Linked DNA regions of Drosophila melanogaster. The protein of the gene in region 2 interacts with the protein of the main gene of each other region in a pairwise test. Each region holds a gene or a part of one and is shown on either strand. Other genes may lie near its edges.

Evidence for each region.
Region 1: the proteins of Lk6 (region 2) and CG15109 interact in a two-hybrid assay, tested with the Drosophila melanogaster proteins (one large-scale study listed by BioGRID).
Region 3: the proteins of Lk6 (region 2) and CG3492 interact in a two-hybrid assay, tested with the Drosophila melanogaster proteins (one large-scale study listed by BioGRID).
Region 4: the proteins of Lk6 (region 2) and Sec24AB interact in a two-hybrid assay, tested with the Drosophila melanogaster proteins (one large-scale study listed by BioGRID).

Annotation. Positions count from the first base shown.
Region 1 is NT_033778.4:19,056,239-19,062,720, forward strand, and holds CG15109 (uncharacterized protein), read left to right. Parts: upstream 1-3,182; 5' UTR 3,183-3,248; intron 3,249-3,357; 5' UTR 3,358-3,380; coding exon 3,381-3,405; exon of another isoform or gene 3,406-3,496; coding exon 3,497-4,641; 3' UTR 4,642-4,827; downstream 4,828-6,482.
Region 2 is NT_033777.3:11,758,756-11,765,965, forward strand, and holds the start of Lk6 (Lk6 kinase), read right to left. Parts: upstream 5,703-7,210; 5' UTR 4,892-5,702; coding exon 4,729-4,891; intron 1,325-4,728; exon of another isoform or gene 806-1,324; coding exon of another isoform or gene 799-805; intron 1-798.
Region 3 is NT_033778.4:24,469,780-24,476,232, forward strand, and holds CG3492 (uncharacterized protein), read left to right. Parts: upstream 1-2,932; 5' UTR 2,933-3,058; coding exon 3,059-4,273; 3' UTR 4,274-4,447; downstream 4,448-6,453. Other genes in the region: CG3494 (uncharacterized protein), read left to right, coding at 4,680-5,402; CG16837 (uncharacterized protein), read left to right, coding at 5,692-5,765, 5,837-6,155.
Region 4 is NT_033778.4:9,875,283-9,885,892, forward strand, and holds Sec24AB (secretory 24AB), read right to left. Parts: upstream 7,076-10,610; 5' UTR 6,901-7,075; exon of another isoform or gene 6,114-6,900; intron 5,935-6,113; 5' UTR 5,911-5,934; coding exon 4,414-5,910; intron 4,353-4,413; coding exon 4,226-4,352; intron 4,162-4,225; coding exon 3,662-4,161; intron 3,603-3,661; coding exon 3,377-3,602; intron 3,273-3,376; coding exon 2,650-3,272; intron 2,595-2,649; coding exon 2,362-2,594; intron 2,309-2,361; coding exon 2,211-2,308; intron 2,158-2,210; coding exon 2,019-2,157; intron 1,956-2,018; coding exon 1,844-1,955; 3' UTR 950-1,843; downstream 1-949. Other genes in the region: CG12744 (uncharacterized protein), read left to right, coding at 232-677, 734-770; CG1513 (uncharacterized protein), read right to left, coding at 8,475-8,561, 8,615-8,720, 8,803-8,924, 9,340-9,426, 9,484-9,619, 9,681-9,855, 9,918-10,019, 10,079-10,230 and 1 more.

The DNA.
Region 1 (6,482 bases), on a different chromosome or scaffold from region 2:
CACACAGATGCACACTGAAAACAACAACAACAAAAAGTTGAACAATCGTAACGAAATAATTGAATTTTCATTTCCGTTTTATGTGTTTACTTCCGCTTCATGGACGCGGCACCATTTTCTCCAGCTTTTCCGTTTGCCCTGTCCATATGTGTGTGTGTGTGTGTGTGTGTGGGCTTGGTGATTTCGGCCTATTTGTATACAAAAGGCAGTCAATTTCTGCCAGCTTGAGGAAACTTTTTAAGTCAATTGTCAAAAAGTTCTTAACATCTTTTCCCCAGCCACGCCCCACTTTTGTGGACTCGGTATGGCTCTGTTTCTGTTTCATTTTCGCTGCCAAAATTGAAATATAATTCGGTAAAGTTGCGCCTCTTTTCGGTTCGGCTTTTCCACTTAGACGACGTTTGGATTTGGGCCATAAATCAATGCCAGGCGAAAGGCGTTCGACTGAAATTGATTTAGAATGCGTGGAATGGGCGTAACTTCTTACGGTCGTCAGTCAAGCTTCTGCACTAAAAACAGTCCGAAATGCCAGTGCATTTTATAGTTTGGCTGCAAATCACTTTTCAAACTCTTTGACACGCAGAAAAATATGTCACACTTTCATAAAGCTAAGAAGGAAAAGGCATGATATATTTTAAAACCTATGTAAACAGAATTATATGGCATTATTAAATGCAAAAACAAGAAGACTATTTACTTTAACGATTTTTTCCCATTAGAAAAATATATCCAACTTAACTCACAGAAGAAAGCACCTTTAATAGATCACAGCTGAAATTGTGATTATCATAAAATCAGCATAGAATGATTGCCAACCGGTTTTATAGCAATAACCAGCGATTATGCTAAAAGACATCTCCGTCAGACTCGAAGTCAAATCCATCGAGCATCCAAGATGATCAACTATAGCGGTTTTGCATATTTGATGCACTTGGCATAAACTTAATAAACTTTGCCCCCAGTTACAGGTTATAAACCCGGCGCACCAAACTCGTAAAGATGGAAGCGCGTTAAAGTCACTGAGCCACAACTCGTTGTTTTATGACCAACTCGATGAACTTGCCGCTCCCCCCGTTTGCCATTTCCATCTGGTTTTGTCTAAGCATCTGCCATCATTCTGGCTTTTGTTGCACCATTTTTCACTATTAACAGTAGCCATAAAAGTAGCGTTTGCGCCAATAAAACTTTTGACATGTGGGGCAGGAGGGTTTCCTTAACGTTTTTTTTTCTTACTTCTAGCCGGGCCAGGTGTTACCTTCAACCTTTGCACCTGAGCTTCTCCAGTTGCGTCTGCTGGTCCTGCATCTCCACTTGTCATTTGCCACTGTGGCCCCAGCTACTTGCTACTTGCCACTTGCGCATTTAATTAAGTTTACGCCGCGCTGCACACGCAAAAGGACGAAGGACGTTATTAATTAAATTCCTTTATACACAGGTTAAGCCAGCCATCCCCTCCACCACCTTTCGCCTTTGTGTGTCAACAATTGGAATATTAACGAGGCAACTAATGAAAGTTTACAAAGCCGGAGTCTTTTCCGCCGAAACAAATCGAAAGGGAAACATTTAATAAAAGTCGCACTCACCGATTTTCCGCCCGAGATCAAAGCAATTGCTAGACCAGTTCCCCTAGCACCACTTGACCCACACGGCGGATGCGTGATTTTCGCTACCAATTATAGTGGATCGTCTTGGGAGCCTTTTTGCAGTGTCTGCGTGCAAATCCCGCCGCGTTGATGCACTGCGGCAAAGGTTTCGGACCCCTAATAAGCCACGACCTTAACGGACTCACACATCAAAGCAAGAGCACGCACACCCACTTACACACTGGCTTATAAGCCCCAGACACGCAGACATATGCAAAAAGGATATGTATTAACTGTACGCATTTAAGCCGCTTGTCGAACGCGCACAAATCCAGAAGGGGAAAATCGACTTTTATTCAATACACTCGAAAAATCAACTTTGGCAGATAAAAAACGAGAAGATGAAAACGAGACAGCAGGATGGACCGGAAAAACGGGGTTTTCGAGGAGTGGGGCTACAATATGCGAGTATAAATGTGCAAATCCCCAATGCAGCAACAGCTGCTGCTCAGCCACGCCCCCTTTCGACCCCCCTCCCCGCCTTCAGTGCACTCGTTTGGCATTTACATTTAAGCTGATAAGGAAAAGTGCCTGCTCCTCGGGGTCCCTTGGTTTACCGCCTCCTGCACCCCAAAATCCACCTGAGCGCCAAGTCGCCTCGAAGGGCGCACACACACACACACACACAAGCACATCGAAGACGGCGATGAGAATTGTTTGTTGAAAATGTCGCCAGTTTATGAAATCGCGTGCGTTGGCAGCAAGGAATTCACATTTGACGCACGCACTTTACATTATTAATGCCTAAAGACGAAGGCGGCAGAAACAAGTTCAAGTTTTAGGCTAAAAAAACGGGAATCGAGAAAGAAATACCCTTTTGAAAGTAACCAAAATTCATTTGATATATAACACAAAAGAAGATATAGTTGTTACATTTTGAACAAATGGGAAATTATAGTTTAAGTCAATAAGTCAATCCATGCAGATTCATAACCTATATTTCATATCTTCGATAATTCTTATATACCTTTTATATCAAAAGTTACATGGAGTAGGTGAGTAGTGCTGTGTGCGTGCTTGTGTGCGTAGAGAAGCATCGATGTTTTGGAAAATGCTCCTGCCATTTCGCAAATGTATCGCATTTCCGTTTGGGTGTTTGCACTTTTACGCTTCGCTGAGAATTTTCCAATTTTTGCTGCTAATATTTATTAATCAAGTAATAGCTACTCACACGCAGGCACACACTACGTGTATGAACACTTGAGCTTGTGCCTGTGTGTGAGTGTGAGGTCGCTTGATTTTTGCACGAAAAATTGATTGGAAATTTATAAGCTAAACTTTTTCCACTGTTTGCTTTTGTTTGCGGCCCACGAAACAAACTTTTTTGGTGTGCGCGGTTGTGTTTTGTTACTTTTTTTTTTGTTTTTGTACCATTGCTGCCATTTGCAGCACTTGAAAAGGTCGCCACAAATGGAAGTGAGTGTGTGTGGAAAATCCCCATCAGAAAAATATTGAAATTCGATTTTTTTTTTCGTACTCTCAGTAACCTTTTACCAGGTCCCCAGCTGTCTGTCAAAGCCTCGCCATGAGGCAGGAAGCATTTCGAATTATTTTCAGTACAAACTTTGTGCCGAGCACACCTAGAACCCACTCCAATCAAATAAAGTAAGTTCAAATTGTAACTATTCTGGTGGAAAAAAATCTACAATAAATATTCAACTCTGAGAATATTTGTGGTCACTTTTCACTTTTTCAACTCAACTGTCTTCCACAGCGCTGCCTATCATGCAATACAAGATGAACTACTTGCTGATCCTTGGGTGTAAGTATACGTTAGTTTTCAGTACCATCTAGCATGCAATTATTTATAATTAATTGCGTGTATTTCAAACGCATCCATTGTTTTGCTTAAGGTGTCCTCATGTTGATGCGGCCGATGTACGGCGATTGTCTGCGCATGAAGCGTTCTCAAGGCGATACTGCAAGTGATTATAATGAAACCACTACAATGGACAATACTGCTTCACTGAGCGGAAAAGCCACCGTGTTGGCCAATAGTACCATTACCACCGCTAACATGACTGAAGCCGCCACATCTCCGGAGCAGAAGATTACTGCTGGACCGGTGCGCAGTATGGGAGTTCGTGGAAAAACCACTAGCTCCACAACCACCACCGCATTATCATCATCACTTGCTGCTGTGGCATCCACATCCTCGCCTCCGGATGCCGGAAAATTTCAGCTAGTGGAGGATCTGCTGGGACTGCGCCGTCCCAAGAGGCGTTTGGGTAGCCTGATGGACGACAGTCTGCAGCCACGACAATTGCACCACAAGCGTCGCCCAGCGGTGGAAGCTGCTGCTATGGCCACCTCATTGCCACCCAACCCTAATCCCAATCTTAATCCCAATCCCAATCCCAATTCCAATCCCTACGTGTACTACAACAAGCTGGTTTCGCCAGATGGCAAGCACGAGATAAAGGAGTTCGAGCTGCTGGCGCCCAACATGATGATTGAGAGTGTGCAGCAGGAGCTGAACTACGGTCCGGAAGTTCTGCCACCGGAATTGGCCGGAGTGCTACTGCTGAATGCAGCCGAGAACACTCCACGCGGACTTCATAATGCAGCACCACTGAAGCACCATCGCAAGCATAAATCCTCGCCGGCTGTGCCACCGATGCTCTACATGCTGCAACAGCTGTTGCAGCCCAATTTCGAGGGAAATCTCTTGCTGGAACCACCAAAGGAGCCACAGCGTCACGTTAGTTCACCCCTCTATCAATTCCTTGATGGCGCCATGGATCTGGCTTTGCGCAACAATCCCGATGTCATCGATCACCTGCTGGGCGATCACCTAGAATTGGAGCTGGAGATGGAAAAAAAGAAGGGCATCAAGGATAAGGCACTAACGAAGAAGGCCAAGAAGGAGGCACAGAAGATGGAACCCAAGGAGGAGCTCATCGTCAGCTGTCCCATTCACCATGAGCACCATGCCAATCGTAATGGCGACGTGGTCGAAGATGATGTCGTTTTGGTGAACGAGTGCCATCTAGTGTGAACCTGAAACGGGCAGCTGTCACAATGTTTCTTAAAAATTTTAGGTTACTTGTTTTTCCGCATTCTTTTTTTTATTTTTTGTTGCTTCAACTGGAAGATGTTTATATTTCTTGCATATGTAAGGAGTGGCGAGACCATTTTTACTTTGTATACAAAAAACAGACAATAAAAACTAAATACACATCATAATAACTATGTTCAGCGGAAGAATATAAAAAATCAAGCTCGAAAGTTGCAATATAATCCTTCGGGAATGCCATCATCGAGCAGAATGGCCATTGTTCCGCCCGTAACAAATATCAAACTTACGCTCCAATCGACACCCGATCCCCTGGGTGGCCTTCTCCTTGAAGTTCTCCTTCGTTTTCATTAACAAAATCGATTTCCTACCTTGAAATGTCCTGAGGGGAGAGGTGGATGAGCGGGAAAATTGATATGCCGAGTGCGACAGTGCAGCCAAACGAGCAAACAAATCTAACATACAAACCCTTGACTGCGGATGAGAATATATCCTCCATTTATAGCAATACATGTGTGTGTGTGTATGGGTGTAGGGGTGGGACATAGCGAACGGAGCCGAAAGGCAAAAGTTTTGCCGGCTGCCACTGCTAAATGCTGCTAATTTCGTATACAATAAAACTAATGTAAATTGCCACTTGACGTTCACTGGGCGTGTAAGTGTGTGCCATAGTATGTGCAAGTGTACTGGCTGCACATACATAGACATTAAATGGGGCACATAATGTGCCGGGAGTCAGGAATCGAGAATCAGAATTCAGGCTTCAGGACTGGGAACACCAGGGAAAGGCAAGCCATTGAAATAGCGAGTGTCATGGGTGCCTGGCCATCAGCATAAATACAAATTTGCTTCACAAATCCACGTATATAATCTATATAAACTGCACTAGATGCCAGCAGTACATCTACATGTGCCAAGCGGAAAAGTGCAACGCAGCATTCGTAAAATTGCGTAGCTCCTTCGACTTCAAGATACATTTGGAAAAATAGAAAGAATGGAATAAGATTGCACAATAATTATATTTGGAGAGTGGTATAAAGATTTAATTATTTAATTAAATATTTATAGTGTTTCATACGTTAACAGACATAAAAATATAATAATTAAAGGACGTACTTGCTTATTTCTAGGAATTTAACATTTATATAATAATTTCTAGTACACTCAAAAAATATCTTATATTTGTTATAGATATAAAAGTAAGGCAAACATTATTTCTCTCTCTGTGGTGGCACTGCCAATGTCCCTGGGGTGTTAACTGGAGTGTAAATGCGAATGTATGTGCAATTCCCGCTGCTAAGTGACCAGGCCCCCTCCAACATAGACCCTCGCACACATATATATTTATTTACAAGTGTAAATAATAAATGCTTGCATCAGCCATTCCGCATTCCACTCAACTCCAAGGTCCTGTCAGCACTGCAAGTGCATTAACTTTTGCCACACTTTCGTCACCAATGCCATTTTCGCTTTAAGTTGACATCTGCGTAAATAGCTTTAAGTTGCGTACAATACAAATATAAATATAAATATAAATATAAATTTCGAGAAAGGCAGGCGGCGACCACTTTCGCTAATCTCTTTGCTTTTGAAATTTATGGCTTCATTATGAGGATGACAAAGACGAGCGTTGCCAGGACATTGCCAGGACTCTTCTGTCAGTCACTCGCTCTGTCTGGCTGTCGGTCTTTCGGTGCCTTTGTTGTTAATGTTATGGTTGTCATTTGGAAGCTTGTAATTACGTTAGCCACAAGTTGTTGCCAAAAGTTGTAATCTAGATTTCATAGTCAAAAGGCGACAGGCAACAACATAAAATTCAATTG
Region 2 (7,210 bases):
ATATTAATATTGTTCAATTAAAAATGCAAATATTTTAATTGGAATTTCAAAAATTTAGATTTCGTTAACATTTTATTCAGCCTACATCTAAAAACACACTTTAATCAGTTAAAAGAATTCTTTTGTAACTCCGCAAATTAATTAAACATTTCATATACATGTTATTTACACGTTCCCTTGCGAATGGTCTAGAATGCTGAAGAGATGCCACCCCAACAACTCACTCTTTTTTTTCTTAAACCACCTTCTTCTCCTGACACCATGAATTCACGGGCAGGCAGAGACACTAACACTCTTGCACACATCACACACGAACGTTATCTGCACGCCTGTGTTTGTGTGCTGTAAAGAAGCAGAAAATTATTGCGCAGCAAATGAAATTGTAAAAGCGAAAAAATGTATGAAAACGGCGAGAGAACCAGAACATAAGGTATGACAATAAAAAATAAGATGAGGAATTAAATTAGAGAATAACCAAATGGGAATATATTACCATAGTTATTATATGCATACAAGGTCGTTTTAGTTACTTTAATTTTTAAATTAAAAATCAGTTGTTTAAAGATAAGCCTAAAATGTAATTGCTTTTAGCAGCCTGTAAAATGTAGAGGAAACTTGGAACTAAAACAATAACAAAAATGCAAAAACCGGCATTTCGAAACGTTTCCCCTCACATACAGATGCACATGCCCATCACGTTATGTGGGTGTGAGTGAGCAGGGCTGAGTGTGTGCGACAGTTCTCTCATCTCATCTCGTTCCTAGACTTTGTTGCTATCGTTGTTGTTGCTGTATTTACCTAACATGTTTGCTGCCTTTTGCCGCTGATGTTGTTGCTGCTGCTGCTGTTCGCCTTTTAATCGCAACGCAATTTGTCTAAGCAACGCCCGTTCTGCTGCTTGTTCTTCTTCTGGGCGGCACGTTTTTTGCAATGCGTAGATAAAACCGCCTGCCTTCGATATATATTGCTCCCCGTCGATATGGTATTGCTTTAGTTTCGAATTAGTTGTTTGTTTAATTACGATGTTGGGCTAATTTTAACCCTATTCCGGTTGGATCATCATCGATTTGAAGTACACTTTTCCCTTTTCGACCGACGAAAACGAAAACGACAATTTACTGCTGAATGATTGTTATTATTGGAAGCACAGGGAAAATTGTTCAGATCAAATGGCCGGGAATTTCGAATTAGATTTATTTCGCGTTTATGTGAGATTAGTACCGGCGACAAAAACCAATTGGCCAAAAAAATGAATTTGAAAGAAATGGAAAAACACGGACAAATCTTTGCGGACCTACGTCGCGCGGCGCCAACGAGGAAAGAATCGAATTCAAACACGCGCCCGCTTTCGGGGGAGCGACAAAAACTGAAAACCAAACTACCGCGGTGCGCGAAGAGCGAAAAAAGAGCGGTGGGCGGCGAGCGAAGAGAGCGGCCGAAACGAGAGCGAGAGTTGTAACAAATAGATATGTATGTATATGTTTATAATGCGCTGTTTGCAAGGGTAGCGATAAACATACTTTGTACATACATATGTACAAGCATAGATATGTACGTAGTTAGAAGCCTGCTCAATAATTGCGAGTGTCGTTCGTCATAGGACAACAAAAACAATAAGTCAATCTTTTTGCTTACACTCAAATTAAAAAAGCAGCCCGGAAGAGAAACGCCTCTGGTTGCAAAAATCCGGTTTCAAATCGAATGCACAACAATTACCGGCCATGTCAATTCATCGAGTCAAGTTAGTTGGTCGATACAAACTCATATTTGCTGAGATCTCGATGGCAAAGAGAAAACATTAGCTATGTGTTTGCCGATCGAGTTCTTGTCTTTCGAGGGGTGTAAATATTGACACACTAGTTTAGGCCAGATTAAGGAGGTAACCGATACTGATACCTGTACCTCCACCGATACCTGTGTTATCACACAACCTGGCCAATAAGCCCACGCACACCAACGCATCGGCGGCGGAAAGAGAGCGGCGATAAAGCCACATCATATTGGACACAGAACCAGTTTTGACAAAAAGTCGCTTTGTGGTTGTGTCCGACACGCCGCAAGCAAAACAAAAACAGCAACAGGAAAAACAATAACAAAGCGACAAACCGAGAAGCGGTCGAAAGAGAGAGACTAAAGTTTAAGAGAGCGGCACAGGAAGAGACCGGTGCGGGAGAGCGTTACATGATGCAATTAAGTTCTTGTAAAAAGAGAGTACACAGGAAGAAATATGGTTGTGGCATATGATTGATTTTTAACGGTTAGAGCATAGTTTTACAGTGGCACATAAACTAAACGTATTTCACTGAACAGCCTAATGTTTTCATATTTAGCTAATTTGAAGTAAACAAGTTATTTTTCTTTCAGTGCAGAGAGAGCCCTGTTTCATTGTTTTTGTACGTTTTGGAGTGTGAGAGCGCGATGCCCGAGAAAATGTCGTGAAAGACGTGGAGCAGAGGTGCGAGGGAGAGAGACAGACTCCAACACCAATGCCAATGCATACCAATGAAGGTGGTGTGATGTGCGCGAGTTCTGTTTAAAAGCAAACAAGTGGAAAGGGCAAACAGCAAAACAAAAACTACATTTAACTTGCTTTGTTTTCGTTTTGCACAGTAAACAACACATATGCCTCAGCTGACGTTTTTTCCACTGCGGCATTGCCACAGCTAAAAAATAAATTTCTCTCTCAGGGCTTTTGCGCAAACGAGCAAGGGAGACAGAGATATATTGGGCTGATTTCATGAATCGGAGGAGGCTGCACGTAGGCACCACTAGATGTCCTCCTATCGATAGGCCTCGATAGAATGAAAAACTTCTCGATAATTATGGAAAATTATTATGGATCGTTGGGGGGAAAACAAGTTTCCAGCTGGTGGGCTCCAATTGACAGCGTTTTGCACTCAGTTGATTGCAGCTGCAAAATCCACTCCAGCACAACTCCTAATGGGCGCACACATTTTATATGTGTGGGAGGCCAAGCAACGAACGTCACACCAAGTGCAATAAACGTCATGAAGGTTATAATCGTAGTTTGTTCACATTTCGCCGCGTTCGCTGCATTTTGGGCACGAATACGCATTTGAACACGAGTGTCAGTGCATTACGCTCAATCGATCAGCCATCATGAGTCATTTTCCATTTCCATAACTGCCTGCACACGCTCAATTTCAATTTCTCGGTCTCGGCTAGCTGGCACAGATACTAGTGCCGTCTCTCTCACTTCGCCGGCAGCTTTGGTGGTGTTGGTGGAATGGCAGGGAAAAGGAATACCCTTTTGTGCTTGGAATCTAGTATTGCTTAAATTGATAATCATATTATGCGAATTTATACCAGTCAACTGGTCTAATTACAAAGGGTAACTATTGGTGCTGAAATCTACATATGTATGTGTGAATATATTCCTATTGTACAGCAGTTTACCCATATGGATTTCATGATTTTTCAAAGCAGCTCACTTATGCCCGATTTTATAGGATATTAGTGGAATTAGTGGATGTCAGTGGTCCAACCCAACCGTATCTAGCATATTTACACAACAATCTGTCCTGTTTCATAAGATTATCTTTGATAAACACAAAGTATGGACTATAATCACTATCTAAACGAAAACAACAAACTTCTAGTTTAACCTCCAGTTAGAATATGACTAATTAGTGGATTTAGTTGATCTTTGTCATTGTTATTTTATAGCATATATCAAATCCCACATATAATTAAGAACTTGTGTACAATAATAACACCCCCAGTGATGGTTATAAAGTCCAGATGCTGGAATACCCCTAAAATTAGGGCACATACACACTTATATTCAGCTTAATGGCCCCAGTCGAATGATGCAATGGGGTTCTCTTGGCGAAACAAAACAACTGTAAACACCACACAGACTGTGCGGGGTGGGTGAAGGGAAGCGGAGTGGGTGGTGGGGTTGGGCGCCGGCAGGCAGACAGCATGCATGTTCTCGAACATCGTGTGACGTCAAGGAAATACACTGCGGCACCCGGTGCGCAACGTGGCCCAGTCAGTCAATGCTCCCTAGTTCGTTCGATTGATTAGCAAGGGTAAACGAAACGAAAGTGCTGCCTGGCCCAGCTTTGCCGATAACTGACTAGAAATCCACTGAATGAAAGCGTAGGAGCAATGGTCGGGTCTTTTCTCTGATTGGTAGTCAGTCCCCACCCAATGACAAGCAGAATAATACATACATATGGTTAGGAACTTTAGAGGAAGTATAACTTCCGATACAAAATATTACATTAACGTATATCTTTTTTTTACCATTGCATTTTAGCAGAAATATCCTACAAATCGTATTTTATAGGTACAACTTTAAGAAGCAAAGAACGTTTGTCACATTCTCAAAATAATAATTATATGCTTAAATAAGGCTTTTGTTTTCTTTTGGCATGCAAATAACTGTTGCCTACGAAATATACTTTATATTTAGGCAATACAACAATATTACGACAGAGATACAGGTGAATTTCCAATAGGTAGAAGTTCAAATTTATACGAAAGAGCTGCCAAATTCACAGTCAGAGCAAATATTTGCAATTATTTCATCATTCTGTTAACATGTTGTCTAGTTAAAATTAAACTGGTGACACACGAAGCGCAAATATGCGAAATCTCTTCAGAAGGTTTCCAAAATATATCTCATGCATCACAGTTTGCTTCTCAGCTATGGGAATTTAGTGTCAAACTCCCAGAGTTCTAGAAACTCAAATTGCTCACCTGACTGACTCTGGCTGCAGCTGTTGTCCGTGTTGCTGCAGGAAATGCCGCTGCCACTCCGGATGCCGCTGTCCCCAGATCCACGGGGGTGGTTGTTGTTATTGTTGTTGCTTGCTTTCGCAGCAGCGGCAGAAGCAGCTGTCCCGGACTTGGGCTCCACCATGTTGTTGCTGTTGTTGTTACTGTACGGTGCTCCTGGACGCGATTAGAGTGAGACAGGCAGAGTGCTTACAAGCTGGAAAAAGGGTTTACGGTGCAACAAATGAGCAGCAGTTTTTCTCAGTCTCTCGTGCTCTTTCCTCTCTTCTCGTTCAGTTCATTCAAAATCAAAATGGTGGCCGCCTATGGGATTTTTGTGTTTTTAATACAATGCGGCGGTTGATGAAAAAACTGATTCAATTCTGCTGCAGATGCTCCTCTCTCTCTCTCTCTCTATCTATCGCTCTCCGCTGTTTATTTATTCTTGGTTTGGTGGTTGAGTCGTCGTTGGTGTGGCTGCTGTTGTTGTTGTAATCGATGGCTGCTGCTGATTTCTCTCATCACACAGGCGAAAAAAGCTCAAGCAAAAAATGGGGTTTATCTATTTGCACCGCTTTTTTCGGTTATCTGCGATATTTTTTGTTTTTTTCTTCGGGTATTGCGATTTTTGCGTTTCACCTCTTCTTTGTGGGCTTGGTGCAGTAGTGCTGTTGCTGTGGTTGTTGCTCTTGTAGTTGTTGGTGAGATGGTTGTTGTAGTGATGGAGGCGTTAATTTAGTTCTATTTTATTTTCCGGAGCTGCTGGAGATGGCTGGTGTGGCGGTGGAGTTGGTCGTTAAAATTTCCTCTGCTGATTACAACACAAAAAAAATCGCTGAATAGCGGACAAAAGCCGTTTTCTTTGCGTATTTCGCTTTAAGTTTCCTTCCCAGCTACCGATCCATTTTCAAAGTTCGAATGATTCCGACGAATGACGACGAATTCATCCGTGTGGCCGGAGGTACCATTTTGGTAGGACCGTTTTTCGGGCCAACGAAAATACCACAAGACGGCAGCGACACTAGGGTTTTTTGCTTCAAATGTAGTATGGCTACGCAACTCACATATGGTTGAGAACTTCGCTGTTTATTTGGTGGTTAAACTAGCTAAATACAATAAGAGTGGCAACGCCGTCACGTTTTCTACATGTATTTTACTTGGCGTAGTGCGCCAAGCTTATAAACCACAGTTGGGCGGTTCTTTTGAATTGTTTAATTTACACCCCACTATGAAACTTATTAGCCTTCTTTATTTATTTTATATTTTATTTTTGGGAAGAATACGTTTACTCAAGGTTCGCAGCTTGTCAATCAGTATTCGCAAATATCAATAATAAAAGGCATCAATTTTCCAATCAGCAGTTGAAAAGAACTCCCCTCGACATTTGAACAAAATGCATTTTTGGGTGATTATAATTTATTAGAATTTTTATTGACTTAAGGTAAATATAAATAAAATATTATTCAAGTACAAAGTTATATATACTCATTAATATTATTTGATTCAAGTAAATATATTTCAAAGTGGCGGTGTTTTATTATATCATTTTTCAATTAAGTACAATTTACTGTTCCTGCTCTATTTCTATGGGTTCGCAGAGAGTCCAAAAGTACTCTTAACACTCGGTCCTGTAAGGTGTGTATAATTTTCGGGCAGGCCATTTTCGGATTTGGCCCGACCGGAAAATATTGCGAGCCATTGACGACGCACCTGCAAGTTTTAAACCTGGCTTATTGACTCGTGATTTCCTCGTCTTTGAGACCCGGGGATCGAGTACTTGTGGGTACTTTGCGAACCCGGACTTCAAACCTTGCCCATGCAACAATTGTATCTTTGTGTAGTTTACGTTTAATCAATGAATTTGGATCACAAACAGTAAATACGTCTTTAACGATAATTGCAGTTGAATTAAACATATTAAGATAAGGGTAGTGGGGTGGGGGTACCTTTGTTTTAATTATAAAAATATTATATCTGCATTTTACATGTTTTTGTTTCGCTACTATCGTTTTTGCTCGAAATTACATAAGTCCAGCCTTAAAACAAGTAATTTTCGTCACCAATCGCATTCGCGCACGCTCCATTATCCATAACACTCGGTTTCGTCATCAATTCAATTCAATTCAATTTTGCATTTAAACGCTACGTTGCCTTAACTTCAGTCCTTTCGCAGAAAATCTAACCCTTAAATGTATTTAGCTCTTCGCCCGTCGATCCTTTTTCTTCCCTCCTTCCTTCCTTCACATCCCCCGCATGCTGCAGACACTAAACATAAATTCAATACGTACAGTTTCAAATTGGATGCGCGGCATCGTATCGTCGTTTAATGTAAAAGGTGTAATGCTACGCGCCCTTTTCGTCTGATCCTTGCCCTAAATGCCATCCTAGGGTATTAATCCATCCACCTCTAACTACAATTTAACTTCTCTTTGGCCGCAAACCCCCCGCATTACTTATTTAGCTC
Region 3 (6,453 bases), on a different chromosome or scaffold from region 2:
TTTTGAGATTACACGGATACTTAAAAGCGTATCTCAGCATTTTCATCTTCGGCACAACAACTTTTCGAATTTACCATTTGGCTCTCGCAAAAGGTAAGCAACTGTGAGTCGAGTGGGAGTGGGAATGGGAATGGTAGTCTAAACCTAATCCTTTGAAATGGTTTTTTAATGTGTGGGCCCTGGCGATGGTTCAGTGCCTCTACCTTGTCTCCGAATGGGATTAAATGTTTTTCGGGCGGGAAGCGAACTTTTGGGTTCGGGCCGTCGTCGGGCTATTAACACCTTGGCTTATTGTTAATTAGGCCCGCTTGCTAACTGATATAATCCCCGCAGGCTCGTCCTGTGGGCCAAACTTGATTTGTCATCTCGGTTAATTACTGGTTTCGAGAGCGACTGCTAAGACATTAATAGCATTAATTAACTGATGGCTCCGGGCACAGCCCATTCAGACACTCAACGACTGTCGAAAGGGGATCCAGCCTGGGGGGCCTGGAATCGATGGCATTTGAGCCAAGGCAATGGTTAATTGGAGCTGATTTAATGGTCTGGATGGAAGCTGGTGTCAGTCTTAAAGTCTCGGCTTGTTGTGCGGAGTATTAAATGCCTTCTGCGGATGGTATTTTAATATCCGTTCGCTTCACCCTCGCCAAGTCCCAGCTTAAATACCTGCACATTCCGTTTACAAGATTTCTGCTGTCTTACCAAAATCCCCCACCACTTTTCGGCGGTAAGCAGATATGACAATCACAAAGTGCTCCAAACCATGAGCTGAGCGAAAACAGAATGTCATAAAAATATACACTTGTGCCACTTGGGCCATACTCGCATACTCGTACGCACAAAGGAACACACTATGTGTGTAATCCAGGAGCCGGGCAGCAATAAGACAGGTCCTCCTAGGTTCCATAAGCCAGATTCCCGATGCTGGGATAATGGAGGCGAAAGACGCGTCGGAGCAGACAAAATAAAATCACATTTTCGGAGCCAGAGCATTTATGATCCATTATGCTCTCAACTAGGGGCTCCGGCTTTGTTTTCGCCCATAAGAAAATGACTGGGAATGAATGGGGGCTTGGGGCATTGGCCACAAGGTCAGAGCGTGGCAGAGTGATGTATACATTCAAGAGCACTTTATCGCCTGGTGGCTATTATTTGACTATAATTTTAGTTATATCTGAGGAGCTCATGAGCACAGGTGCTGCGACATCATGACAACAGAGAGAGCTTCTTTCAAAATCGAAATATGCAAATAGGTTTTAAAGAACTTATGGCCGGAACGAGGGCTTTAACATATTTACCCCGGACTGGTTGGAGAATTTCATATATAACCAGACCCAGACCGACATTCCGGTGCAAATATGCACCATGTTGTCACAGGGCATTGTGGGTAAAATAAGTTAAATAAAATAAAATCGAGTATGCATGTGCATGTGTGCTTGATCAAATTGCAGTCACTTGTCGGCGTGGGTGTGTGGGTGTGTTTATTGTTGACACATTTTGAGACGTACCCTGCAATATGGATATCAAGTGCGAATGCCATGGCTCGGCACTAGAGAAAGTACAAAACACGTCGTGGAGGTGAAAGTTGGACCAACTGCGATGATAATACGCCATCTGATGCACCAGGGGGGCGTGGCACTCGAGAATAAAAACGCTTAAGTGGTTCAATGTCTATGGAGGCACCCATCAACCATCCAGACCGCCCAACCACCCACTTTGACGTTGATTGTTGAGCGATAAGAGCGTTGGCTTAATGACACTTGGCCCGGCACTCTTAGCCCGGTCGGGATGTCCTTCAGCTGACGTCCTCGTTGGCGGCTGAGTGGGGGCCATTAATGCATCGGATTAACCCAACCATATGCAGATATGAGTATATCCCCCGTCGAAGCTCGTCTATCCTTCAATCGTGCTGTGCCGCAGACAATCGCATTAATCATTTAATTGTGACCGCAAAAGCCCTACCATATTAACAATCAATTAATTCTATGCGAATAGATTTTTTAATGTGCATTGTTTTTATCTGCACTCGAATATGGGCACCATATGTTATTGATATTGTTTAATCCGATTTAAAAAGGGACTGAATCGACCAGCGCCCTGCCTTTGATTTAATACACGGCCTCGGATGAGTAAAAAATACACAAATATTATAAATTAAAAGGCCGTGCAAATCAGTGGTTTCTATTGTTATTACTTTGCATTGCTGCTCCATTTATCCACACTTTGTCGCACAGTCATTCAAGTGCCACGGCCACTAATTGTCCATCCTGCCAACGGTTGAACGGACTTAAAAACACCGATTGCATTGACAAAAAGTGTCAAAACCATTTCATGGCCCATTTAACCAGCGATTACAACAAGCCAAAAGCGCGGAAAATAAAGCCAAATCCGGATGCAGCAAATGAGCAACAAATAATGAAGCTCTTAAATATGTGGACATGGGGACACAATAGTATTCAATAGTATTCAGTTAAAGTAGCTAACTGGCCAAAAAACAATGGGAATTAGAAGTGCAGTGAAGTTACAATGGCTGATGTGAAGTTCGCTTTTAATGACGTGCATATTTGCTGATTTTAATTTAATCACTAATTACACGAATGCAAGTTTGCATTTATGAGGCCACCGCAGTGTTAATTCCGTTCAAAATAGTTGAAAATAATTAAATTGAGCTTCATAGTTTAGTACTTTACATATGTACGCATACGTATGTGCGCCTCATTATACATCGAATTAATAATTGATGCCGAAATGTGCAATTTCACGTTGTTTTCCACATCAAAGCATATTCAGACGCGCCGCGGCACGCACTTTATGTTCCAGTTAGTTATAGTTTATAAAAACGCATATGGCAGATAATTAAGTGGGCTCACGCTCTAATCCAGATGGCTTCTCGCAGTTATAGTTTTCAATCCAGGTGACCTATGCCAGTTAGTTCGACCCATCCCCTCCAAATCCAATCAGTCAAACATTTCTTACCACACACGTACAACCCGAACCCCGCTTAGTCATTTCAAATTCAAGTATATAGACTACATTGATTTTGGAAGAGTTAGCCACAATGTTCATCCGCGGAGATGCGCCACAAGCTTCCCGGGGCAAAATTCCCCAGATCCCCAGCTCCATGACGCCCTATGTGGCGGCAGTGAAGCGCGGACCCTACACAATGACCAATCCGGTGTACAACACCCACAATCCCAACCTGGTGGGCTTGGATGGCCAGGTGGAGGATTCCCGGCCCAAGCACACCTTTAATGTGAAGAGGCAAGAGCTGGAGAATAACTACCGGCACCACCAGCGGCTGATCCCCGTGCCCACTTCCCGGAGGACGATGCCCAAGATCCGATCCCACATAGTGATGAACGAGCAGCGGGAGCTGTATCGCCAGCACCGCGATCGAATGTCCAACATCAAGGGCAAGGTCAACACCTATCTGCCGCCCCCGAAGGTGCAGATCGAGGGAAATGGCATGGAGCTCTCCTACATGGAGATGCTGACCGCACTCTACAAGAAGAGCAACAACACGCTGCGGACCTTCACCAAGTCGCCGGAGCGCCTGGCAGCCGGCAGGTGGCGCAATGCCAACTTGGCCCGGGAGAAGGAGCGCCGCCAACTGGAGAAGAACAAGGAGTTCCACAAGGGAGGCGAGCTGTTTGACCCAGAGGCGGGCAAGTCAAAGCGGTACAAGCCCAAGTCCTCGGGCTCCTTCAGCTGCGAGATTCCCATGCACGTGCTCCATCGCTACGAGAACTTGATGGACCAATGCGACGTGGGCGTTCTGTGCAAGCTGCTGCGTCCGCAGATCTACCTGGACATCGAGGTGCGGGAAGCCCGCATCCAGGGCAGGCTGATCATCCAGCTCTTCACCGAGGCCTGTCCGCAGGTGGTGCTGGAGTTCATGAGGATCTGCACCCAGAACAACAGTAGCGCCATCGTATTCAACCGCGCCCTGGCGCCCATTTGGATGGAGGGACGACTGGCCATGGATCCGCAGAGAAGCACCGAGCTGACCAACATCGAGCACGACTTCGAGGTGCTGAACCACGGAGTGGACGCCGGAATCCTCTCCTTTCCCAGTCGCTATGTCAGGGGAAACGCCCGGACTGCCGTCAACTTCACCATCAGCTTTAAGCCCCTGTCCATTCTCAACGGCAGGAGAATCGCCTTCGGGAAGGTTCGCAAGGGCATGCAGCTCCTGGAGAGGATTCAGGTGGCCGTCGGACACCTGCCCATGAGCCACAACTTGATCTCGCTGACGGACTGTGGAGTGATCTGAGAGGTGTAAAATTTCCAGTAGATAGTTGGGATCTACTCATAACTTTTCGAAGAAAATTAATTAGGATCAATTGCTAGGCGGAAATCTATATTCTTATTCTTAAGCCATGTCACCCCACTTAAAGCTGCTGTAAACCACAAGTAAATGATTAATGTGCATAGATACATAGATACGAGATACACTTGTGCATTCATTCCAAGTATCTTGAATATGGGTTTGATGGATCACAATCCCTTTGGATATGCTGTTTCCTCCTTCATATATATATACTTCGATATTTCAGTTTTCCGTTTGAATCAGGCGAAGCAAGTCACAAAGCATTATACACTTTTTCTAGAATTCAGTAAGTTTGCTCACTTCAACTTCTTTACGGAATCGATTCATTCTGTACTAGGTAATCCTCGACATGTATATGGTTTGTGACGGATTGAACAGCCCCAGGCTGCAGGGAGGAAAGGAAGCGGAAGCGGATGGGAGTCAGTGGCCGTTTCCGGACAAGTACCACATGAGGAACACCCGGATCCTTCAGGTGTCAAAGGCTCAAATCAGCGAGGTGCCCATGGAGGTATTCGAGGCAGCTCAGCAGGAGCTAGTGAATATCGTGAGCTTGGATGGCAACAGGTTGCTCGAGATGCCCAAAGATCTGCCCTTGCTCTCCGAGCACCTCACCCAGTTGGTCCTGAACAAAAACCAGATCTCCTTCGTTCCCACCAACATCTCGCAGTACTCGAAGTTGACTAACCTGAGCCTCTCCAACAATCTTCTGTGCGACTTGCCCATGGAGTTGGGCGGACTGCGGCTGCTCCGCAATCTGGACATCTCCCACAATCGCTTCCGCCAGTTGCCACGCTGCATCTACGAGCTAGAGAGACTGGAAACCTTGTCGGCCCACGACAACCAGATCCGTGCCATCGATGCTAGTGAATCGGGCCTGGGCGGAATGCGGGAACTGAAGAGATTGAACTTGGGAAACAATGACATCCAAATAGTGCCGCCGATCTTGGGCAAAATGCAGAATCTCGTGGAATTGGAGCTGTGGGGAAATCCCTTCCGCCAGCCCCGCCACCAGATTCTATCGATGGGGACTCCGGCGCTGCTCAGCTACTTGCGCACCCGCATTCCTATATAAATCATATATTATTTATTATTAATTCAAATCAAATTTCAAAGTATTGCCAAATAAATTGACAGCAGTGCAGTTTAGCCCCTAATTCCGTAGTTTTGCTTAAATCGTGCTCATGGAAGATTCCTCACCAAAGATTCCTCCTTGGGTAAGTTTCTGGCAGCCTGAGTTTGCTGAACTCGTAATGATAGTAAGCTCTGATTCCTGCGTCATCAAATCAAATAGGTCAAAACCTAGTTGGCTGGGAAGAGGACACTACTATACTCACTACTAGTTACATTTGCGAAGCCCGAAAATGTCCAGAAGTTCGAGGTTATCAGTAACTGAAACTCAGCGCAAAAGCACTCCAGTGGTAAAGAAGGCGGTTATGTAAGTTGGAACACGAAATCGTCAACAGCAACAGACCCCTTGACCTGCTCCGCATTTGTCCATCTCCCTAGTCGCAGTCGATCCTACGATGGGGATGCGTTCGTCAATCTCTTCGCCCATCGCGGCGCCCGAGACATCATGATCTTGGATAGCCATGGAGTGCCCCTCCGATCCACCTGCAGTCAGAGACGCACCTTCGTGTTCGTCTCTAACCTGAAGCCGCTGCTCTTCATGGCCCGCAACGTGGTCAGGGATCTGGACCCCTCGAACGACATAACCTTCATGCGGATTCGCTCCAATATGGGCGAAATCCACATGACCCTGGGCACGGACTTCATTTTGATCGTTGTGCAGAAGCTGAGGAGGCTCAGGAGCAGCTCAACATCATAAAACATTTCCGGTCGCTGTGCGTGTGTGTGTGCGGATGTTAATTGTACTGTATCCATATTCCACCCAAATTAAATTGCATGCAATTGCGGCAAATGAGCAAAGGTCACAGTGGATTGGGCGGAAAATTGTAAAATTTAGGAAAAGCCCAGCGAGACCAGAGCAAACTAATCCGTTTATGCAGCGCTTGCAATCCGGAAAACGCATCAAAGCGGCAATTAGTGCAGCCTCGGATGCGTCAGTTGTATCGTGGTTTGGAATCCAACGACCTCTCAATTGGGTCCGCCACATTCATTAATCT
Region 4 (10,610 bases), on a different chromosome or scaffold from region 2:
CAGTTGATTTCTTGTAACCGAATGGAACACTTGTGACTTTTAAGTGCGCATCGAATAGACTGGATGTTGAATGAAAAGAAAGACGTGTAAATAACGGAGTAAAAGAACGAGAGCGAGGAACCGTAATGCGAGTAGTTCATATGTTGATGAATTGAAAATATAGAGAGTTTCCATTCGTATATTCTTAAGCTAACATAAAAATAAACAAGTTGCATGTGAAATAAATAGATAATGGAAACGGCGTTGGCTGAAGTGCAACTTTCCTGTCTGCTGTGCGAGCAGACTTTTGATGCCACTGAGAAGCTGGACGAACACCTCCCCACCCACTTTCCGCAGCCTGTGAGCACTGGTCAAACATGCGATATATGCGGGCGCACGATGCGATCCTCGCTGGAACTGCACCAGCACTATAAAAGATACCATGAAGCCCATGTGCCCAACACAGAGGGACACTTTCAATGCCAGCTCTGCGACAAGGTATTCCTCCTCCAGGATCATCTCAAGGTACACGTGAAGATTGAGCACGCGACCGATGGCTACCAACCAGATGAGAAGTCCTTAGATTGGCAGCACTACTCTCCCAGAAGTCTAGACACAACAAACGATTATAAGCTGGATCCCATCTTGTGTCCTCCACCAAAGAGGAAGTATCCGCCGCGCTCCCCCTTCTTCAATCCGTAAGTCCAGATACCCAATTTATATTTGTCCATTATTAAAGTTGATATTTTTGCAGGAATCTCTGGCTAGGCGCTGACAACTGTTTTATGTAGAGGAACATAGAACCAGGATATGTCTTGCGAAGGGCTGACCGATTTATTGAGTCTTATGCGCCATCATCTATCCATTGTAAATGATTGTTAATTTAATTAAGGTCTTTCCCAAAACTAAATTGGGATATATTGGGAACAACAGATGTGCCTGTACATATGAAAATAAAACGCATTGCCTTATGATTTAATTAAAATTTATTTCGCTTTATATCTTGATGTACTCGTATGTGTATAAAGTATGGTACAGTATTTGTATATGGTTTTTCGATTAGTTAGCCCACTCAAAGAACGACAACTGCGCCACCTGAGGTACAGGGATGGGGTCTCTTTATTGATACAGTATAATATTCCTTCTAAGCTTAAGACATTCACTGCCTAGCAGTCCAATGAATGCAATACACAATACCAAATCCGTACATACGTTTGAAATAAGTTCGCTAACTACAGTGCAACAAAACGCCTTTCCTTACACTTATAAATAAATATAGATTTCTCTGGATTCCGGAAAATAAATACTACTGAAAACAGCAAACAATTGGGGTAAGCGATAACAATTTGTGGGGCTGAGAAGTTTGCAGAATGTTTGAAGCAGTTGGAACGAACAAAAATCGAGCTAAAGCATAATGTACAACAGTTTCGTTGGTTTATTGCATAGTTTCTATAATAAATAACGGAGCCATCCACTTCTTCGGGAGCTCTACTGACTGGTTAGCTGAACTTTTGACTAATGTTCGCCCTAAACGAACTGGCAACGATATCTTAGTTTCTGTTGTGACAAGTTGGCTCTTTCGCATTTACTATGATCTTCAATTATTTTATTTTATTTTTAGTGCAACAAATCAACAAATAAATAAATACATGCACTTTAAAATTACCTAAGCCGAGAGAGTGGGTAGGGGATGGGTGGTTAAGGTGTATCAAGTGTATGTCTGTCCCGAACTGGTCTCCATTGTTTCGCACCAGTGTCACCTGCATTCGCTTCGTGCTTCTAGTCACCAGAGTCTGAGTTTTTAGGTTCTTAGAAACTCGTATTTATGCTGCATACAATAGTGGTAGGATATCCTGCTTATATACTATTTAACCTGAGCCCGAATGTGTTGCAAAAATTCATAGTATGACAAACTAGATTCACTGCGATCGTCGGTTAATCTCTCGGTGAACTGGCCCTTGGCCGTGCTCGTGTCCCTTTAATTTAAGATAAAATAATTAGCAAGGTATTATGAATATTTTAATAGTGGTCCGACTTACCTAATTATCTGCACCAGCGCCGAGTAGGGCTTATCGTAGTTGAGTCGCAAAATAAAACGCTTCAGCACATCGTTCTCGTTGCTCACAACATTTGGCAATCCATATACATAATCACCCAGTTCTGCGGTGGAGCTGATGCCTGAAATTAGAAACAGATTAGTAACACAAATTGGTTGGGTTTTAAGATCATACCCAGAACAGCTTCCAAAACATCGGGCGGCACATTAAGGCCGACATAGATCATTATCAGCGTTCCGCAGTCCATCAGAAATATTGACCGAGAGTCCAAGCTGAAGTTAAAGCGTTCGTTATCGAAGGTCAAAAATAAATCAACTCTACTCACTGTTCCGCGGACAATTGAAGACGCGGCAGCTCCGGCAACGGTTCATCCTCGTCCTCGTCGTCATCCTGGTTCGAACTAATGTTCGAGTTGCGGGCGTGGTAGATCAACGCATCGATCTTGTACAGCTCCGGGTACACGTACTTCATTAGCTGGTCCAGCGGTAGCGTTTTCATGCAATCCATGGCGTAGACCCGATCATCCAGTCGTGTGCTAGTTCCCACACGGAAAGCGGGCTAGTGGAAAACCGAAATAAGCTGTGATAACTAAGATCATATGCAAAAAACTCACGTGCTTAAGCAGGGCCAAGATGTAGAGCGGGAGCAACGCCAGGCTGCGCGGCGCTATCAGCTGACCCGACTGTCCCGATGGCAGATTTTGTGCTATCTTGAAGGCATTGTACACGTCGATCGTAGCGTTTATGAATGCATCGCGGGCGTCCGACAAGTTGGAGGCGACCGACCGGTCAACCGCCATTTTCGACAGCAGCCCGATAATAGCTTCCGTGTCGGCTGAATGCATTACCTCTGGGAGCGAAGCGGTAACCGGCAAACACACGGTGTGCACACGGATTCGGCGCTCTCCTTCGCTGTTCGTATAGAGCAGCGCAGCTTGGAAGCAAATCGTTTTCGCGTCCGTGAGGCTCTCCTCGTAGGAGATCTGCATGCCATATCCAGCATCCGGATTCACGTTTGGCAACGAGAGCAGGTCCGTGGAGCGCACGAAGAAGTTTCCATGGAATGTATGCACCTGCAAGCCACGAGTGCAGCGGATTCGCATTACCGCCTCAAATCCAATTTTCCTGGTAAGATAGCGCTTGAAACACGAGCGGAACGATTCTACCATGTGTGGCTTTGTCTTCTGGTAGAGCGGGAAGTGGTGTACACAGCCGCCGCTATGTTTGCTAATGCCAGCTATAGGGAAATTGAAACTCCAATAAGTTAACGGTGCTCTATTACTCGTAAGAGAACTTAATGCAAAAAGGCAGTTTGAATTTACATTACTAAGAGTCACTTACAAATGGTTGCCATGTCGCTGTACTGCTGGTTCATCAGGAAGAGGTCACAAGCTATTTGATAGCCGGAGCACTCTAGGGCAAAGCGCTTGTAGAAGTCGGTTGCCGGGTTAAGGTGGGCCACGTCCTTTGCCGAGCGGTTGTTGGGATCTTCGCGCGGCTCCAAGGCTCCGGGTCCCTTGTTGGGAAGGCACGATTGAAAGACGGTTATCCGTCCGCCGGACGCTTGCTGTATACAGTATTCACGATGATTAAGGTTCCTCTTTAATTTTGAATAGCTCAACTCACCATTAGCTTGAAAGCAACCTGCAGAGCAGCACCCAAGGCGGAACCCGGATCGTGGGTGTGGGCAAACCGCTTAGGCAGTTGCTTTAATAGATCACGCACCAGTTCCTTGCACTCCTTTAGGTTTACCAGCAAACTATCAGGACGTGGCAGGAAGGGGTCCTCGATGTCCAGCAGCGTCATTTCGTGCGGCTGGTTGAGCCCCTCGGCCATGCTGTAGAAGTGCACGAAGCTGTCGAAGCAAATGAATCCCACCTGGGTCCTCGCATCACCGGGCATCTCGTCTAAGTGCCGGTTGAGTACGGCGCATGCGGCCTCCAGATAACCACTCTGCTGCGCGATTATCGAGACATCGAAGAGAAACAGGTACATGGCCGGCTGTGGCGGCCGCAACATGTACTCCGAAGGAGCAATAAACTCTATGGTGCTAGAGCGTACCTCGGGCCTTCGGGTTACGTCGCCGTATGTCTTTGTGGCCGGATCAAATTGAAAGTCATCTGGCACTGCACGAAGAAAGAAACATTGGATTACTAAATCCATTATATGCTGGGAACTCTTTTCAATTACATTCGTTGACTCGATAACACAGATTGCACTTCCACATCTTGCTGTCCACGAAGTAAACGAAGGGATTTATGTAAGTGCGGCACAGCCGGCAACGCACAATGTTGATGCACTGAATAACAGGGAGGCTCTGTGTGAGGAATTCCAAGTTAAAGTCTTTTATATCAAATTATTTTCAATAAAATTCTTACATTGACATCACGGAAGGGATGTATCACAATGCCCAGAGGCAGACGTGACTTCTGGAGCAGAGAGTTGCTCTCGGGAATCTTGGTCAGCGTACAGCGCATAATGCTCGGGCTACAGTTTATGGACTCGTGAAACTGGTTGTGCAAAACCACTTTTGGCGGAGGCAACGTTGCCGGCGTTAAGATATGCCGATTCTGCATAAGGTCGATAGTATCCTGTCCCCACAATCTGCTGAATCCCTGCTGAGCCACGTTTAGTGGAGCAGTGGTTCCATAAGGTCCCCCGGGTGCAGTCTGGGGTGCTTGCTGAGGATGTTGTCCGTAAGCCTGAGGAGGCGCCTGTGCCTGATACTGCAGTGGAGCTCCAGTCGGTTGCGTTCCGAACATTCCCGGCGGCGGTGGCTGCACTGCAGACTGAGGAGGTGGTGGCTGTTGCTGTGGTCCTGGTTGATAAACCTGGGAGTATGGATACGTCTGTGGTGTCTGCTGGGCTGGCGGCATCATGGGCTGGGCTCCCGGCGCCGCTACATTTGGTAAGCTCGGCGGCCATACCGCTCCTACTCTTGGTGGCGGCGGTGCATTCTGTAGATTGTTGTTTTGCTGGCTCTGCTGCTCGGGGTTAGTTGGTGGGGGTACTCCGTATGGGATTCGTTGCCCCGCTGGTGTTGGTCTACCGGCCATCGAGGCGCTTCCGAACATTTTGGCCGGATTTGGAGCCAAATTGGGGGGCTTTTGTCCACTAAACGGCGTCGCCATGGCATTGGGAACTAGTGCAGCGGCCACTCCGCTGGCCGCCAACAGACTGTTGGCGTCGTTGAACTGCGGTGGACCCGTCTGGGCCGAGGCCACTCCCCTGCCATCCTTTTGTGTTACTGTGGGTGCGTACTGTTGCTGGGTTTGGGGTTGTGGCAAAATGCTGGTACCTCCATTTGCTCGAGTGGTATTCAAGTTAAGATTTTCCAGATTGCTCGTCAAGTTGGCCAGAGATTGGTGCGTCGGTTGGGGCGAAGGACGCAGTCCCGACGCCAGGGGCGGATTGTTCAACGCTGCAGCGATTGGTCCTTGAGCATATTGAGGGGCAGCTCCTACTGGCCTTGGGGATGCAGTGCGCGAAGAGTTCGCACTGGACGCCCCATTGCTGCCGTTCGTAAGGGGTGGTCCGTTGGCGGCGGGCGGACGCAGATGGGGCGGCAGCGTGCTGGGCGGCAGTTGCTGCAGAGGTGTAGCTGCTCCTGACGTGGGCGGCAAGAACTGGTTCGTAATACCACTGTTGAACTGCTGCGGCGGTGGCACATTACCTGGCGCTCCTGCTCCCGGAAAAGCTGCTGCAGGAGGTGGTTGCTGGAACTGTTGTGGCTGCTTCTGTGGTATATACTGCTGACCAGGTGGAGGACCTGGCTGCTGCTGGACGCTTCCTTGCACACCATTCACAAAATTGTTTCCGTTCAGTGGCATAGGGGCGTGGGCGGGAGGCACGAAGTTCGGATTGTAAGTCGACATGCTGCTAATTCATAGGTTTGTGGTCTGAAAGATGAAGAATTACATTTTGTTTAGTTGCTATCTTATCACTAGCGAAGGTTGCGTTGCTGCCGACATGAAACAGGGAATTATCTTATCGTTCAATGTTAAAAAGCGCGTAACATGAAACAATGTGCGGCTGATAAAAGTTGTAAAGTTTTAAAGCGGGATGCTTTTCCCCGCTTACAGACAGTTTAGAATTTGCAGTGATCGAATGGAATGCGAAATTCTGCGTTATTGGAGCTTTATCACAAACTTTTAAGCTAGACTGGCTGCCTAGGTAAATGTCTTGATTCAGTGTTTACAGAACTGTGTCTACGTCAACAGTAAGTCGGAAATAGGGTGATAATTTCATATCATATTTTGCTGTTTAAACAGCTTCGACAGCAGGTCGTTATGGGTTATTATGTGATGTACAACGTGTAAGTGTGCGTGCCTCAAGCACTTGACCTCGCCATCAATGATCGCAGAAGGTGGGTCGGTTAAATTGGTGACCCAGATGCAGTGGAAGCAATCAGGAAGAGAAAGGATTTGTCTCCGGAACAAAGCAAATTTTTGATGACGTGCCTATTGGCGAAGTCAACCCGCCACGCCCACCACCCACTCAAAGAAATTGGGGCAATCAAGGCATATGTAGTGCCCATAACACGGTTACCAATCACTTATCACCTTCCCGAGCTTCAGTTTTCATTGGCATGAAGTTCCTCGGCCAGCACTTGCACTTTGTAGTTGCCTCTTCTTCTTGCGCCCTTGATTGGCGATTTTGCTGCGGACTATGAATTAGCTTTTCCGCCTTTCGTTGTGAGGAAAGGGCGGATGCAGCTGTAAAAACCACTGGTTGTACTCTTTGTTCTGGTCTTTTGTGAAATCCTTGGCTGGATTTTTCTCCGCGAACGAAAATTAAACGATTTTCGCACTTCCCTACGCTCTCTCCACTCCCAAAACTTCCTTCCGCACTAGTTTCTTTCTTACACGATTTCAAGCGCTCCTCGCGTGCTCCGGATGGATGCGAACACGTCCTATATTGGCAGGCGGATTCTTTGGACTTGGCGTCGTACGCTGCTATGCACAATTAACTTAAATGCAAACTTTTTGCATTTTCCGGAGAACAAAAAATTTTGAGGCCACGTCAATAGTGTGACCGTTGGTTTTAAAAAAGAGATGACAGTGCTCTGGGTCGCCTATCGATTGCAAATAAAATGTTATCGATACCAATGGTAACATTATTTTTGTAACAATTCAAATTTAAAACTTAACGCAATGTTTATTAAGTGAAGACAAGCAATGTATATTATATATAACTCTGTTAATGATATGAGCTTAAATGTTCGTAAGCCCGAAATCCAAAATCCATTAAAACTGCTTAAAGAACAAATCGCTTTATTTGCAATATTTGTATCTGCTTGGGAGTAGCTCAATTTCTCAATTAACACGTTGGTTAAAAAGAAAATCGCAAAAATATATACAAGTTTCCCCGGGCTTGGATATAAGTTCCAATTAATGCCATTGGGATTACAATTCTTTTATTCTACGGGGTAACTAGTTCGTTAAATATTACTTTAAATCAATTTCGAAGCGTATTTACTTTATTCGTTTCATTTTGCGTTAACTTTGCGTGAGAGTAGTCGGTAGATTTGCTGTGTGGGTGGTGTTGCTTCCTGGCTCGTAAGTTATAAAGTTATAAATTAAATTTAATGTCTATTATTCAACGTGTCTAGGAGTTCGGTTTTCAATTGGGTTCTATTGCAGTAAGGTGTAAAGGTGTGTCACCAGCGGACTCTTGGTAAAGCTTTATTGTTATTATTGTGACAAGTGGAATTCGAAACATAATACTAAAGGTAATCGTATTTGATTTATAAGCTATGCGACTGGAAAATCATTGTGCACCGTGTGTTCTATGTCCGTGTGTCTGTCCTGTGGTCTTGGAAAGAAGCGAGGGTGCAGTATCTGTCGGATACTAGCGTGTCGGTATTGTATTTCGTCTATAGCAGAGTCTTTTATTTCAAAAATAGAATCTCTATTATCCTTAAGTAACTATCATTTTGTAATCTACAACTTTTGATATATCCCATTATGTATTGGATTTCTTTCTTTGTTGCTAGTTAGTAAATGTTAGTAATGTAAAAGGTATTGAATAGGTGTCATTGTGTTGCAGTTTACTGCGATTGCCTTTGAAACACACTAGTACTTAGTAGTAAATAATAATCGTTAATTCTGTATAGAAACTGTGAGTGTTTGATTTTTCTGTCTCCGCTGAGCTGTCGAGCTTGACTCGCGTTCCAACCTAATGAGCAGAGCTTTACTCCTTTCTTTTTCTCTGTGTATATTATTTACAATTAATAACCAGACCCTGGAGCCTCCATCATGGATCTCCTTCTGCCAGTTCAGTTGTTGCTCTAACTTTTCCTGCATTCGTTACGTTGTATCGTCAGTGTTGAGAGGTTTGCGCACTTGTGGAATTAAACATATAGTTGAGGCTCGTTCTTGATATGATCCATATATATAGACGTTTTTGGTGTTGTTGCTCTCGTTGTCAGTCGGAGGCATTATCTCTTGGCCTCCTTCTCCTGCAGATACATGCGCTGACTCAGCGGCTTGGCGTAGATCCAGTTGTCGCCCACGGGCTTAAAGTGCTGTGAACGAATATTATCTGTTAACTGTTTTACCCTATATCGGGATGACGTACCTTGTGCTCCCAGGCCAGATCGTATTCCTTGCGCACCTTGGCTTGATCACGCTGCTGTTGCTCCACAACGAATTTGGCAGTTGTAGCGCGCTCGATGTCATTGAACCTGTGGAAGAGCAACGAACAAAGAGATTACATTTATCATGACTCGCAATTGGGGGTCAGGAATTAATTGGTATGCTGTTTACTTGAGTCCCGCTGTCACTTCCTTCCAAACGCGTCGCGATTCGTACTCATCCTGCTCAACGATTGGTCGAACTTGTTTCTTAAATATGGGTATGCGATTTACGTCGACGAATACTTCGGTTTTCTAGAAAATTCAAGAGATTCATTCAGATTCACTATGTGGTCAACTGATTGGGATTGGGTGTAATATTAAACACACAGCAATCATATATAAGTACAGATAGCAACAATTTGAATACAACGTTGGACAATCAGGCATAGGATTAATTTGTGGGTTCGATTTTCTAGACAAACAAAGTAAACACACAGAGGAAATGCTCCCGAGCTATTTAAGAGAAAAGCAGAAGAATCGTGGATAGTAAGTAGAGGTCTAGTTGGGGTGTGAAGGGTGGATGTGGCTGCCAACTCGTGGGGTTGTTTGTTGCAGCGTTTTGGCGCAGTATGCGGAGGAAAAAGTACAAGTAAAGGATCAACATTTACAGAAACAATATATAATAGTACACTACAAACATAAACCAAACATATTTTGGACGACTTACGTTTTTATCATGCCACTTGGCCTCCATCAAACCACTCCACTCGCCCGTAATAGAGACGAAAGGCTTCTTTTCGCTCGGCGCATAGACCTATGGATTATCCGAATTAATAAAAGAAAACAAATGTACACATTCAGAGCTAGTCACCTCTGCCGAGACCCTGTTCCGTTTGCCGCCATAGAATGGCTTGGTGAGGAACTCCACGTTGGCATAGTATCCAGACTGTGGACACTTGATCTCCACCGAACCGCCGAGCTCAATCCAAGGCACCGTAAGAATAGACCTTGGTAATGGAAATAGTCTTCAGTTGTTTGTAACCGGAAATACCACAGACACGTTCTCACCTGCCGTAGCCGTTGGGGAAGGTCACTATGTACTCCTCGCTGCGATCCACCAGGGTCACAACACCCTCACCAATGTTATGAACTCCAATGGAGAGTCCCAAGAACTTCGACTTGGTCCATACATGGGCCGCAAATGTTATTTTTTTATTATAATGCTCCGCATAGAAGGCAGAAACTGAAACAAATAAATGCGTAAGTGATAGAGGTAATAAAGTCTTGTTTTTTTCTTTGTATTACTTGGCGGATGGTGAGACACTTGCTCAGCTAAAAAGGTGAGTTGATCCCGCCTGCACCAAGGCACTGGACCGTCGCGTACCTCCTGAGCGTCTTGGGATATGCCTAATATCAAGGAAAACGCGTAAGTGGTGGTCTACAGTAGCTAGTTTTGCATTGCCTACCAGGAATGTCCCAATGGCACTGAAATACTTCTCCCAAAATTGGATTGTACGGCTTCTTGGCCACCGCACTCTTGCGCCCAGCATGGTAAGCACTCATATACCAGCGGCAGACCTGGACGATTCTGTCGCGTGGATCATCCAGATCCGATATTCTATTGGGTAAGATGCTTATGAGTTATATTACTGATATAACGCCTTGAACTTGACCATACTTTATAAACAGATCGGGATGAGCAAAGTAATCGGCGTACATTTCCAGGAGCGAGCGGCGCTCCAGAATAAACGTGGGCAGTACCACTTTCGTGAGGTCCATGCCGATTTTAACCTGGGACAGCAAGTGCGTAATCATCGATCCGTGCGCCTCCATACTGAGGTCCGTCTCTTCCTCCTCCTCGTACAGGGCGTCGTAGTCTATTCCGTTATCGTAGCTGGCACTTCGGGAACTTACTGCGGTCCTCGCTGTCTTAATGCTGGTGTCCGCATCGGCAACACTTTCATCGATCTCTGGCAGCGTTTGGGGGGCAACTGAATC